Linked DNA regions of Coturnix japonica. The protein of the gene in region 1 purifies or fractionates together with the protein of each later gene. This does not show direct contact. Links are inferred from orthologs where the notes say so. Each region holds a gene or a part of one and is shown on either strand. Other genes may lie near its edges.

Region 1 (5,983 bases):
CACGTCCCTCCTGCAGAGCTGGACCTCAGCCCTGCCTCGGGCCAGAGGGAAACCTTGGGAACAGGCAGCGCTCAGCTATTTGCACACCACCAGCACCCAGAAACAGGCAATATTTCACTATTTGCACACCCCGGAGCAGCCATCGGGCGCTCGTCTTTGTTGCCTTTTGGACTCCAGTCAACTGAAAGAACAACAGATGAACAGCAGCTCTCCCACTCCCAGCTCCTCAGGCTTATTAATTATCAGCTACACTGAAAGCACCAAACACCGCAGCGGCAGCTCCAAGTGGCTGATTCACTGCTGGTGTCTTTCCTCCTTCTTGATTCACCTTCGCCATTCCGGAGAAAATGGAACCTCTCCAAACACACAAATATCACCATGTTCATAGTGTTTTGTGTGCTGACATTACTGTACCTCTAACAGAAAACAACACTGTCTGTCCAGATCCCACCACGCTCCAAAGCAGAGCAAACTACCATATAGATGGGATACACTGTGCTCATTCAAACTGCACGGAAGCCGACTGGATTGAAAGCTCTGCATATCAAAAAGCCATCTCCTTTTTTAAATGGAAGAAGGCAAGAAACACTGAATCATGAGTGCATCAGACAAAACGCATCTGATACAGGATTCCTCAACGTGCCCATAAGGCTGAGGAGCCTTCTCTGAAACGCTGCAAAAGGAGCAGAGCTGCCAAGCAGCCCCAGACTGCCATAGTGCATTACCACCCAATGGAATAATTTATGACTGAGTTCTATTGCAACCAGACATTCCTGCTCTGAAAAAAAAAAAAAGAGAAGGGGTTGGTAGTCCAAAAACCAATTGAAATTCAAGTTGGCAAGTACTTCCCTTAATGCTGCGGTTCATTTCAATCCTTATGACTTGCAGAACTAGACTGTACCAGAAAATATTTGAATAATGAATCTTCCCGTTCCACTCCTACTTACGAGTGTTTTGTCCCAAATCTCTATGTGGATACAACAAAAACTTCCTAATAAAAGTACGGCTTCCTTTGAAAGTTCAGTTGTGTGATGCTCCACATCTTGCCCTTAAGATTCCTCCTGTAATGAGCACATTGTATAAGGCACTTCTTTAATGGGTAAAGCAGAACTGTGGCAGTGAGGCTTGTTTTGTGAGGCTTTCAAACACTGACAAAGTCATCCTGAAATATCTGCAGCACACTAAACTCATCTGCACCCACTTTTCACCCTTTGCTGTCACAAAACAGAGAACAAAAGCCACGAGGTGGGCCATTAACTCCCCCCCAGACCCATGTTGCAATGGACATTGTCCACCATTAGCACAAGTCATGTTTTGAAGTTAACTACATCCTGGGCTGCTTGGAAGTCATTAAGCCATTTATTGTAATTCAGCAGAGAGCTATGACAAAGCCTTGTAAAGAATTAAAATTACCAAGAACTTGAGATAATGCTGCAACTGGATCTTATCTCCTTACGTCTCTTATCTGGTGATGATGTGATTTTGTGTTGGGGTGTTGGGCCCTGCCTTCCCACAGTCAACAGGAAGAGTTGCTTAGAGACTTGAGCTGCAGAATCCCACAAGCAGAGTGCTACCAGTCTGAGCATCGCATCCCTCAACCATTTCCTCTTTGGTTTCAGACTGCAGAGATGTTAACCACTTGTTCTGAAGCTCCTGACTGCCAAATTGCTTGTTCCAGGATGGGCCTGAAAGCATGACCATGCACTGCTTTGCAGGTGCTTCTCTTCAGCATTGCCACCCTTTGAAGTGCTACAGGATGCTTCATCACACGGGTGTCACCAGCCTTTGACATAACAGATTCCAGACCTTTGCAAGTCAAACGACCCACGTGCTGTATTTTAATAACTAAACATAGAAATTGCCAGAGAAAAAAACTTGGCCAACTATTAAAAATTAATAAGGCCTTACTCCACTGAGTTTGCTACTTAGTCATCAGCATGAAAGCTCAAGCCAGACACACTGAAGGAGCATGAAAGTCTATCTTGGCAGAAGATAAAAAACAAATCTGTTTGGAACTATGCTGATAGTGAACGTGGGCACACAGAGCGCCTTTTCCCAGTAATCATGTTGCAAGCCTTCAAAACCATTTCCTGAACAGCGAGGGGAAAGGCAACTCACGGTCTACATTCCTTTTCTGCAAAGGGATTAAAATCTCAGTTTCTGCTAAGGGGAATGATGACTTATTTAGATGGAACCAAAGTGTCCAATTTCAACATATACAAATCCTGCCTGGAAAAGAAAGGGCTTTTGCGTACTACCTGGGTGTCCTCGAAGGGAGCATATAAACAGGAGGGGGAACGGCTGTTTGTGAGGGTGGGCAGTGATAGGACAAGGGGGAATTGTTTTAAACTGAGACAGGGGAGGTTTAGGTTGGATCTTAGGAGGATGTTTTTCCCCCAGAGGGTGGTGACGCACTGTTCACAGGTTGCCCAAGGAGGCTGTGGATGCCCCATCCCTGCAGGCATTCAAGGCCAGGCTGGATGTGGCTCTGGGCAGCCTGGGCTGCTGGTTGGTGACCCTGCACACAGCAGGGGGTTGGAGCTGGGTGAGCACTGTGGGCCTTTGCAACACAGGACGTTCTGTGATTCTGATATAATTCCTTGCACCTTCAGAGGGCCGAGGATGCTGCCCTACCCAAAGCCTTCTGCAAGAGCTGGAAAATGTGCTGTGTTCTGTCAAAGCAGACACTAAGGAGCCTACATGGAACTCAGCTATCAGCAGGCTCAATGCAGTACGAGCAGCGATAAGCACCCCTTTGCTGCAGCAAAGGCTCAGGGCAAAGCGAAGCTAACGCAAACACCACTGTCCTATTTGCCTTCCACCGAACACAGACAGCGATTCGTCCACACCCTTCCTTTTCCCTCTCGTCTGCTGGCTCACCATCACGTACAGCAAGGCTAGACGATAAACCCGAACCTCAGCACAGCGGATCCCATCCAGGCGCACCGCCGCTCCCCGCCCGCACTCGGTGCTGCCCGGCACAGCGCGGGGCTGCGGGGCGGGCTGGGCCCGGCTCCTCCCCGCCCGCCCTGGGTGGCCGCCGGGCGGACGCGAGTTCGATCCCGCACACCGCCCCGATCCCGGCCACTCCACCCCAGCACCCTCGCTGCTCACCGGAGGTGTCCCACAGGCTGAGCTCGATGCGCTGCGTGTCGATCTCGAAGCTGGCCGTGTAGTTCTCGAACACGGTGGGGACGTAACTCTGCGGGAGAGACAGAGCGCGGTCAGACCCGATACCCGGCCAGCCCCGACCCCATCCCAACCCCATCCCGGCCCCATCCCGACCCCAAATCTTACCTCGGGGAAGCAGTCCTTGGCGAAGACGTGCAGCAGCGCGGTCTTGCCGCACTGACTGTCCCCCACCACCACGATCTTGCACTTCACGTTCTGGTTAGGATCCATCACCGCCTTGCTCGATAACTTCTGACTCGCTCTTCTTTCCTTCATTGATCTCCTCTTTGTATCCTTCGACCGGCCCCAGCGCAAAACCAAACAACAAACCCGATGGAAAAAGAAATGAAATAAATAAACCGAAGCAGGTAACCCCTGTGGTAGTGGCAGAGCCGCGGGACGCACCGCCGCTCGCTCCTCCCGCCCGCCGGTCCCGCGCAGACTGCTTTGTCCCCCCGCCGTCCGCCCCTATTTATAGCCTCGTTCCGCCAATCACCGCCCGCCGGCACTGTGGCCACGCCCCCTCGCCGCTCGCTGCCAGAGCAGAGCGCCCCCTTGGGGCAGAGCGCTGTGAGGGAGCGGGACGGGCGGACGGGTGGGGAGCGGGGCTTTAGAGCAGGCCGTGTCCGTGGGGTGAATAATCCATCATCCGTGTCACAAACCGAGCCCGTGCCGTGTGTGGGCTGCAACACGAAGCACAAGTAACGCCTGACATAGAAAAGCCCGAATATCTTGTAGGTGTTTAACGTGCAGGCCAGTTTTAACCTCAGTGCCACAGGTCCCAAACATGGCGGCCATGGCGATGGCCGCGTTACTCACCTGTGACGGGCTTCACACACAGCCGGACACTTGAGTTCTGATGGGAATTAGCAGCCAAACGCTGAAATTGGTCGGCTGTGTGTTATTAGGCGGCCTCAGGGACATGCAGGTTTTCACCCCGGCTTTTTGACGTGAAGAGCAGCTCACTTGGGCACATCTGCGGCTTCCATCCATCCCTATGTATGAAGATAACTCAAGGGAGATGGGCTGGGTCTCTGCAGCCTTCCAGTACTTGGGGGGAGCTTGTAAACAGAAGGGAGAGGCTTTGTATGCAGTGAGATAGTGGCAGGATGAGGAGGAACAGAGCTTCAGAGCAGAGGCAGAACAGCCCCGTGTTCTTCTTGGGTCAAATACACAGTCTGAAGTCTATCTGTCCAGTATATGGGGAGAAGAAGATGGGGTTGAAGGAGCTTTTTGCTGATCTTGAGTGCACTCTCCTCTGTGCAGATGGAGACAAGATGCAACAAAGGCAGTGCCTATGCCTGGCATAGATTGCCCAGAGAGGTGATAGATACGGGGTCTGAGCCCCACAATATACTGTAAACATCCCTTTTTTGTTGCCAGGGAGTTGGACCAGATTGCCTTTAAGGGTCCCTTCCAACTCAAACCATTGTATGGCTCTAGATTGTGTGGCACCCACTCCTTGGCAGCGGCGTGGCTTCTCCCTCTGGACCCAGTGGTACAGGGAGGAGGGAGCCGTGCTGCTTTGAACAGCTTATACGGAAAATTTGCTTGCATCCAGCTATGTTCAGAATGTGGAAACTTTAATGCACACCAAGCACTTACTCATCACGACTTCCCACAGCACGCCTTGTGCTAATATGAGTAGAGATAGCTGTTTACATGCTTTGTTTGCTCTCACAGTTCAGCCACTGCCAGCGTCACCCAGCTCCAAACCCACGGCTCTCAAGCTGTCCTGCAGTGCTCTGAAAGCGAAGGAAGCAAAGGAATCCCCGCCGGGGCCGTGCAGCTGAGACAAGGAGCTTCAAACCGACAGCCAGAGCTAATATTAGAAGAGGTCACTCTGCATTGCTGGCACAGAGGCACCGCAGAGGAAAAAGGGGATAATGCATGGCTGTGCCGGGACCAACTGTGTGCACTGGGGATTCCTATTGAGGGAAGCGTGGGACCTCACAGCTCTGTGCACTTGTGACAATCAATAAGAGAGGGAGCTATGAGATACGCCTGCCTGCTCTGGAACGGCTTGTTTGTTGTCATTCCTCGGGGAAACTGTCCCAGATATGTTAATCCCTGTAAAACTATTATTCATGTCATACTATTAAGTTTAATGCCTCTTCACATATCTTGATAACGAGGGGGATAACACGGCTGGGTTAACGTTTCCATCGGTATTTTTCACACGCAGTCCCATTTTGATTTATACAGCGCGGTTTCTCGCTCTGCTTGGTTCACATTCCCCATTTTGCTTCAGCTCTGATTCCTTTCTAGACTTTCACAGCTTCTCTGCATTCCACGCAGGGAAGTATTATATGTATATTAATGCCACCCATATAATCCAGTATTATCGCTGGTAATGACTACTGATCTCGTATAAGATTTTATGGGAATATCAAGATACGTTTTTCTCCTCTCGCAAGTCATCAGCTTCAACACTTCCTATGACACGAATAAAACAGTTAAGAAGAGTGCTTTTAGCACCGCAATGATTGCTTGACGATTTAAATCTCAAATTGCCATCAGAATACCTACCCGTGTAATGCCAGCTACCCAAGCTTCCGAGGCAAGCACTGAACGCCATACATAAAACATGAGCCTTCCAGCTCCCGCTCCCTCCTCCTTTCTCTGTGTGTGTGTATGTGTGTAACTAAACATACATTAAAAGAACATTATCAAGGCTTAAGGTCAAACGCTTTGTGTGTTAGGAAATGCGCGTTTCCTGTGTGTCGGAAACGTGGGCTCCGGTGTGAGCACGCAGTGATAGTCATTAATTTAACCATCACAAATTATGTTTTCCATAGAACTTATTCAGCCC
Region 2 (5,224 bases), on another chromosome or scaffold:
GCCCGAAGCTGCTGTAGGTGTGCAGCTTGCTCTCCAGCTGCTCCATCTTGTCCACCTCCTGCTGGAAGGCACGAGCAGACAGGCTGGGGACAGTGGCAGAGTGCCATGGCTCTACTAGCCCTGCCGGTGGATCTGGGGCACAGCCATGCAGGACCTCACCCCACCACCACCCCGGCACAGCACCACGACTCCCGCACCCTCCCCCTGCCCACATACCCTCCCAAAGGGGCCGGTGCTGGCGCCGGAGCTGAAGAAGCCGCTGAAGCGGCTGGCAGCACGGTTCTTCCAGGTGTCGGTGCCATTAGTGGGCAGGGAGCCGCTGCCGTGCAGGGATGGCTCGGGGCTGGGGATGCTGGCGTCCCCCAGGAACTCCGTCATGTTCTTCCGCCGCCTGCCCGGAGCCTGTGTGGGTACAGTCGGTGTCGCAGGTCAGCACCAGCCCTGCACACCTCACAGTGCAGGGACAGCCCCCGAAAGCCGCGCTCTGCCCCTGATGTGTCCCCCACGTGCCATAGCCGGTCCCTTTCCGGGGCGCACGGAGCCAGGCCCCCATGGGACACGAGCTCACAGTGCCCGCACCCGCACTGACCTGCGTACCTGCATCCTGTGTACCGGGGCCAAGCGCAGCGTCCTGTGCCCACCCCCCGTGGCAGAGGGGCACCGCGGCTCAGCGCATCCCACGGGGTGCAGCACCCCGAGCCCCACACCGCCCAGCTGTGCTCTGAACTTGAACCGCAGAGCAGGGCAGGCTGTGGCCGAGCTCCTCTGAACAAAAGGAGGTGGGGCCAGCGCAGAAAACCTAATTTCCCTCCTCGCCAGATAAGCTAAACAGACCCGAACAATTCGCTGGCAGAGATCAAAGCCCACCATCCCGCAGCAGAGCTGGGTCCTGGCCACACAGCACCCGCCTGCCCAGGCACAGCCGTGCTCATGCACCTCTACCACCCCACGCCAAGGCCACACTGTGACATGGCTGCTGCCCTCTCCTCACTCAGCACAAAGTGCAGCAGGGCCATTGCGTGGCACAGCGAGACACACTGTCCCCAGGCTGTGACAGCCAACACATGCCTAGCGTGCCCTCTACTTTGCCCCAGCACATGCCCATAGCTCACCATGCCACGGTGTCCCCAAGTACCCCAGCCCACACTGGCCCTGCTGCCCAGCTTTGGCTCCGCTCCCACCTGCTCTCGGGGGCCCAGCAGTGGAGGTGGTCCTGTGACTGCCATCCCTTCTGTGCCACCAGCGCAGTGCTGGTCCTGCTGCCAGGCATCGTACTGCCGGATGCGGGCGGCCACCAGCCCCGGCCACACAGCCAGCCTGGCACCCTCAAGGGCTTCTGGCACAGGGGGCCAGGAGCTTCTGTCCCCACGCTGGGATCACCAGAGCCAAACCTTGGGGAGCAGGAGCTGCGTGGCCCCACGAAGGTGGCATCTGCTCCCACAGGGAGTGGCAGCAGATCCGGCCCCACGGCTTATCTGGGGCCAGGGTCCACGGGGCAGGACTGAGGCTGCACACAGCAGCTGACAGGTGCCAAGGCGAGGAGGGACGGTGGCCACATCCTGGCCAGGAGTGCAGCCAGGGCGAGCCCTGGGGTCCACGTGGCAGCTCAGAGCCATTGAGCTTTACTTTGCTCAGGGACCAGCCCATACATGGCACAGCTGCAGGGCTGCCAGCTGAGCTGCCACACCTGGGGCAGGGCACTGCCCGCACTGCAGTGCTGTACCCCTGGCACCCCCATGGCATGAGGCCAACCAGGAGACACCCTGCTGCCCTGCTGTGCCCCCACCCCCCTGAGCACATGAGGCATGGAGCGCTGATGGAGCTCTGTGTGTACTCACCAGGATGTCGGTGCCCTCCCTGCGGCCTGGCCCTGGCTCCAGCCCTGTCCCGAGGAGTGCAGCGGTGCCGGCGGGGCGCAGGATGGGCAGGCTGGCTGAGCGTGCATCCCGTGCTGCCTGCTCCACCTTCAGCTCGTTCCCGGGCTTGGCTGTGGGAGCACGGAGCTGTCAGAGCCCCCAGCCCCGAGGTGCAGGGCTGGCTTTATATTTCCCCCCTCCACACCTTTCACCCGCAGGTAGTGTCCCCCGAAGCGGTACGCCTCAAACTGGAGGGACAGCGGCGTGTTGGACTGGTCCAGGTAGATGTCCACCTTGCTCTGCTCGATCGCCCTCCTCTCAAAGACCGGCAGCAGCACATCCCTGTGGATACCATCCCTATGGGTCCTGTGGGTCTCTGTGCCCACTGGGGCCATGCCTGGCACAGGCACACTCACCCCAGGGACTTCTTCTTCATGGCCGGCACGATCTCCGCCTCGATGTCAACATTCAGGTCGAATTTGAGGGTGAAGCACTCCTTGCTGGGGTCCTGCAGGAGACACGCAGCTCACCAAGGGCTCCCTCCCATCTCAGATGTGGCCACAGCACAACCCCACAGCAGAGCCCTGGGGAGGGGATGGTGTCTTACATCCGTGTGCCTGCGCCGAGCCTTCTTCTTGGGCAGCTTCAGTGCTGAGCTTCTCCTGTCTCTGCGGGCAGGAGCAGAAAGAGCCAGGTGTTCTGCAGGGTTTGATGGCACCCGCTCTGTCCCATGCACTGCAGACAGGGCTGGGACATTCACTCACCCTCTCCCATCTGCTGATCCCTCGTCATCATCCTCCATGTCGGAGGCAGGGCTGGTGCGTGGCGGGCACGAGCGTGTGGACACATTGCGGGCCAGGATGGAGCCTGTCAATGAGCATTGGGGCTGTGCTGTGCTGAACAAGCTGGACCCGCTGTGTCCCATCACTTGGCCCAGGTCACAGCCAGCCCAGCTTACCTGGTGGGGGCAGATCGAAGCGGATGTGCCCATCAAAGTGCATGGTGCCGTGCAGGCGCCCGTCACAGGCCTCACACAGGCTAAGTGGGCTGCTGCAGTTCAGCTGCTGGCACTCTGCGTGGTGACATACCTGTGGGGTGCAGCTGTGGGCTGGGGCTGGGCAGCAGCAGGATCCCCCGACCCCCCATGGGCTGTGCAGGGGATGGGGACACAGCCACAGTGCTGCGGTGCTGTCGGGCACTGAGCCCCCTCCCCATCACCTCTGCACTGCACAGAGACCCTCGGAGCACAGGGACTGCAGCAGAAAGGCCGCACACAGCTGGGCGTGGAGGGAGAGGGCACTGGAGGCACTGGGGGCACCTGGCCCCCACCCACCCGTTCCCAATGTCCCAGTGCTGGGCTGAGGGTGCACCGGGACCTGCTGCGCTCCCAGGGGGGCTGCGGGGCCGCAACGGAGCCTTTTGTGTTTGTGAGATCAGTGTCCCCACGGCAGGACGGAGGAAGCGAGTGTCTGCAGCAAAACAATGCTCGCAAGCCGATGCATTTCCTCCGATTGTGCGCCCAGCCTCAGCCTCGGCCGGTCATTCACAGGCATTTATTTTTAACCCCAGTGGGCGCTCGGCCCGTGACCCCTCGCTGGGGGCTGCGCCGGGGGTCGGGGCGCTGCCGGGGGCGCTCAGCCCACCCCGGGGGTCCGTCCCCACGTGGCAGCGCCCCACGAGTGGCAGGTGGCAGGTGGGAGGGCAGCGGAGCGGCATCCCGGAGCGCGGCAGAGGAAGCTCCGCGCAGCCCCGGCCGCCCCCGCTTCCTGCCCTCCTTCCTCCCGGCGCTGCTGAGCTCAGCGCTGACGCGGCCGCCGCCCGCGCCCCCCGACGGGGCCACCCGCCCCCACCGCCCGCCCCGCCGCGGGACGCCGAGATCCGCGGGCAGAGCCCACGGCAGCTCCGGGAGCCCCGCACCGCCCCGCACACCGACCTGCCGTCCCGCACGGCCCCGCCCGGCGCCGGGGATGTCGCGAGGCCGCGTCCCGGTGCCACGTGTGTCCCGCGCCGTGTTTGCCCAGCGGCTCCACCCGCGCAAACACGACCCGCCCGCGGACACGCCGCTCACCTGCCCGCCCGCACCGCCGCCCCCGGGCCGGATCCCGCTCCGCCCGCACTTCGCCGCCCCCCCCGGGCAGGTTCCTGCCCCGCTCCCTGCGCTGCGGGGTCCGAGGTGCGGGATGGTGCGGGCACAGCCCGGCTCTGGAAGGAGCTGGAGAGCAGAGCCCTCCCGAAACCCGCACTGCCCGAAAGGTCACCGCTGCGGTATGTCCTCCCCGGTGCTCCTGAAAGGCAGCGTGTGCCTCACTGCAGAAAACAGCTCATCCGCTCACCATAAAAGCCCATAGCAGCGCTGCCAGGCCTGCAGGGCCCAACAGCCAGCACTCTCGTTGCTGGAGCAATGCTCCTGCACTGCCCAGGCCAGGGGCACCGCACTGCACGGCTGAGCACTGCATGATTGAGCACTGCACATTGAGCGCTGCACATTGAGCACAGCACATTGAGCACTGCATATTGAGCACTCCATATTGAGCACAGCATATTGAGCACTGCACATTGAGCACTGCACGCCCTCCCCACCAGCACGGCCTCAACACACTGAGCACTCGGCACTCACCAGGAGCAGAGCAGCAGCACGGCACCGGCAGCAAGGACAGCCCGGAGCGAGCCAGCAGGTCGAGCAGCCAAAGATAAGGGGCCCTAAATCCACTCCGGCTTTACATTAGCGATCAACAAGATTAGGAGAGGTGGCACGGGGCGCTTCCAGCCACAGGCTCTGCTTAATTCCAGAGCCCGGCGCTTCCCAGCCTGGTCACGGCGCTGCCATCCCTCCACACGGCGCAATGGATGCGGACATGAACGCAGCTGTTCCTGGAGGGGCCCGGTGCAGCTCTGCTGCCCAGCCCCAATGCGCAGCAACGAGCTGCAGCAGAGGCTCCCCCCCTCCCAGGCACGGCCGCGCTGCCTGTGCCGGCTTGCCAAGCTGTGCTCCGCCGGGAACAGGACAGACGGGCTCAATGAGATTAGCCTGAATTACAGCAGGTGGGGAAACATGGAAGCTGCCGCCACGCAGTTAAATCCCAGCCACGCACCATCCTGCGGGCACACACACACAGCGGGACCACGATGCTGCCGAGGGATGCGTGCCATGCACAGCTCCCACCATGCAGGGAAGTGGCTGCAGCCCTTCCCCGCTGCGTAGCCACATCCTACCGGCCCAGGCCTTTCTGCCCCGTGGCCGCCTGCCAGTCAACTGCACCGACCGGTTCTGCTGGCACCAGAGGCACCGGGAGCCGGGGCGAGCCCGTGGGAGCCTCCACCTGCCCGGATCTGCAGCAGCACCGTGTCCCTGCTGCCTTCCTGCCCGC

Evidence for each region. Proteins that work in one complex are often made in the same cells at the same time.
Region 2: the proteins of RND3 (region 1) and PLEKHG5 purify together in Homo sapiens (affinity purification with western blotting; 3 studies listed by BioGRID and IntAct, with this or other methods). This does not show direct contact. The link is inferred for Coturnix japonica from reciprocal best matches to the Homo sapiens genes RND3 and PLEKHG5.

What each region holds. Positions count from the first base shown.
Region 1 is NC_029522.1:30,900,995-30,906,977, reverse strand, and holds the start of RND3 (rho-related GTP-binding protein RhoE), read right to left. Parts: upstream 3,607-5,983; 5' UTR 3,448-3,606; coding exon 3,298-3,447; intron 3,203-3,297; coding exon 3,115-3,202; intron 1-3,114. UniProt on the Homo sapiens protein: Binds GTP but lacks intrinsic GTPase activity and is resistant to Rho-specific GTPase-activating proteins.
Region 2 is NC_029536.1:466,599-471,822, reverse strand, and holds part of PLEKHG5 (pleckstrin homology domain-containing family G member 5), read right to left. Parts: intron 4,573-5,224; exon of another isoform or gene 4,474-4,572; intron 3,894-4,473; exon of another isoform or gene 3,790-3,893; intron 2,945-3,789; coding exon 2,815-2,944; intron 2,724-2,814; coding exon 2,621-2,723; intron 2,525-2,620; coding exon 2,464-2,524; intron 2,365-2,463; coding exon 2,273-2,364; intron 2,199-2,272; coding exon 2,062-2,198; intron 1,988-2,061; coding exon 1,839-1,987; intron 1,716-1,838; exon of another isoform or gene 871-1,715; coding exon of another isoform or gene 598-870; intron 403-597; coding exon 217-402; intron 62-216; coding exon 1-61. UniProt on the Homo sapiens protein: Functions as a guanine exchange factor (GEF) for RAB26 and thus regulates autophagy of synaptic vesicles in axon terminal of motoneurons. Involved in the control of neuronal cell differentiation.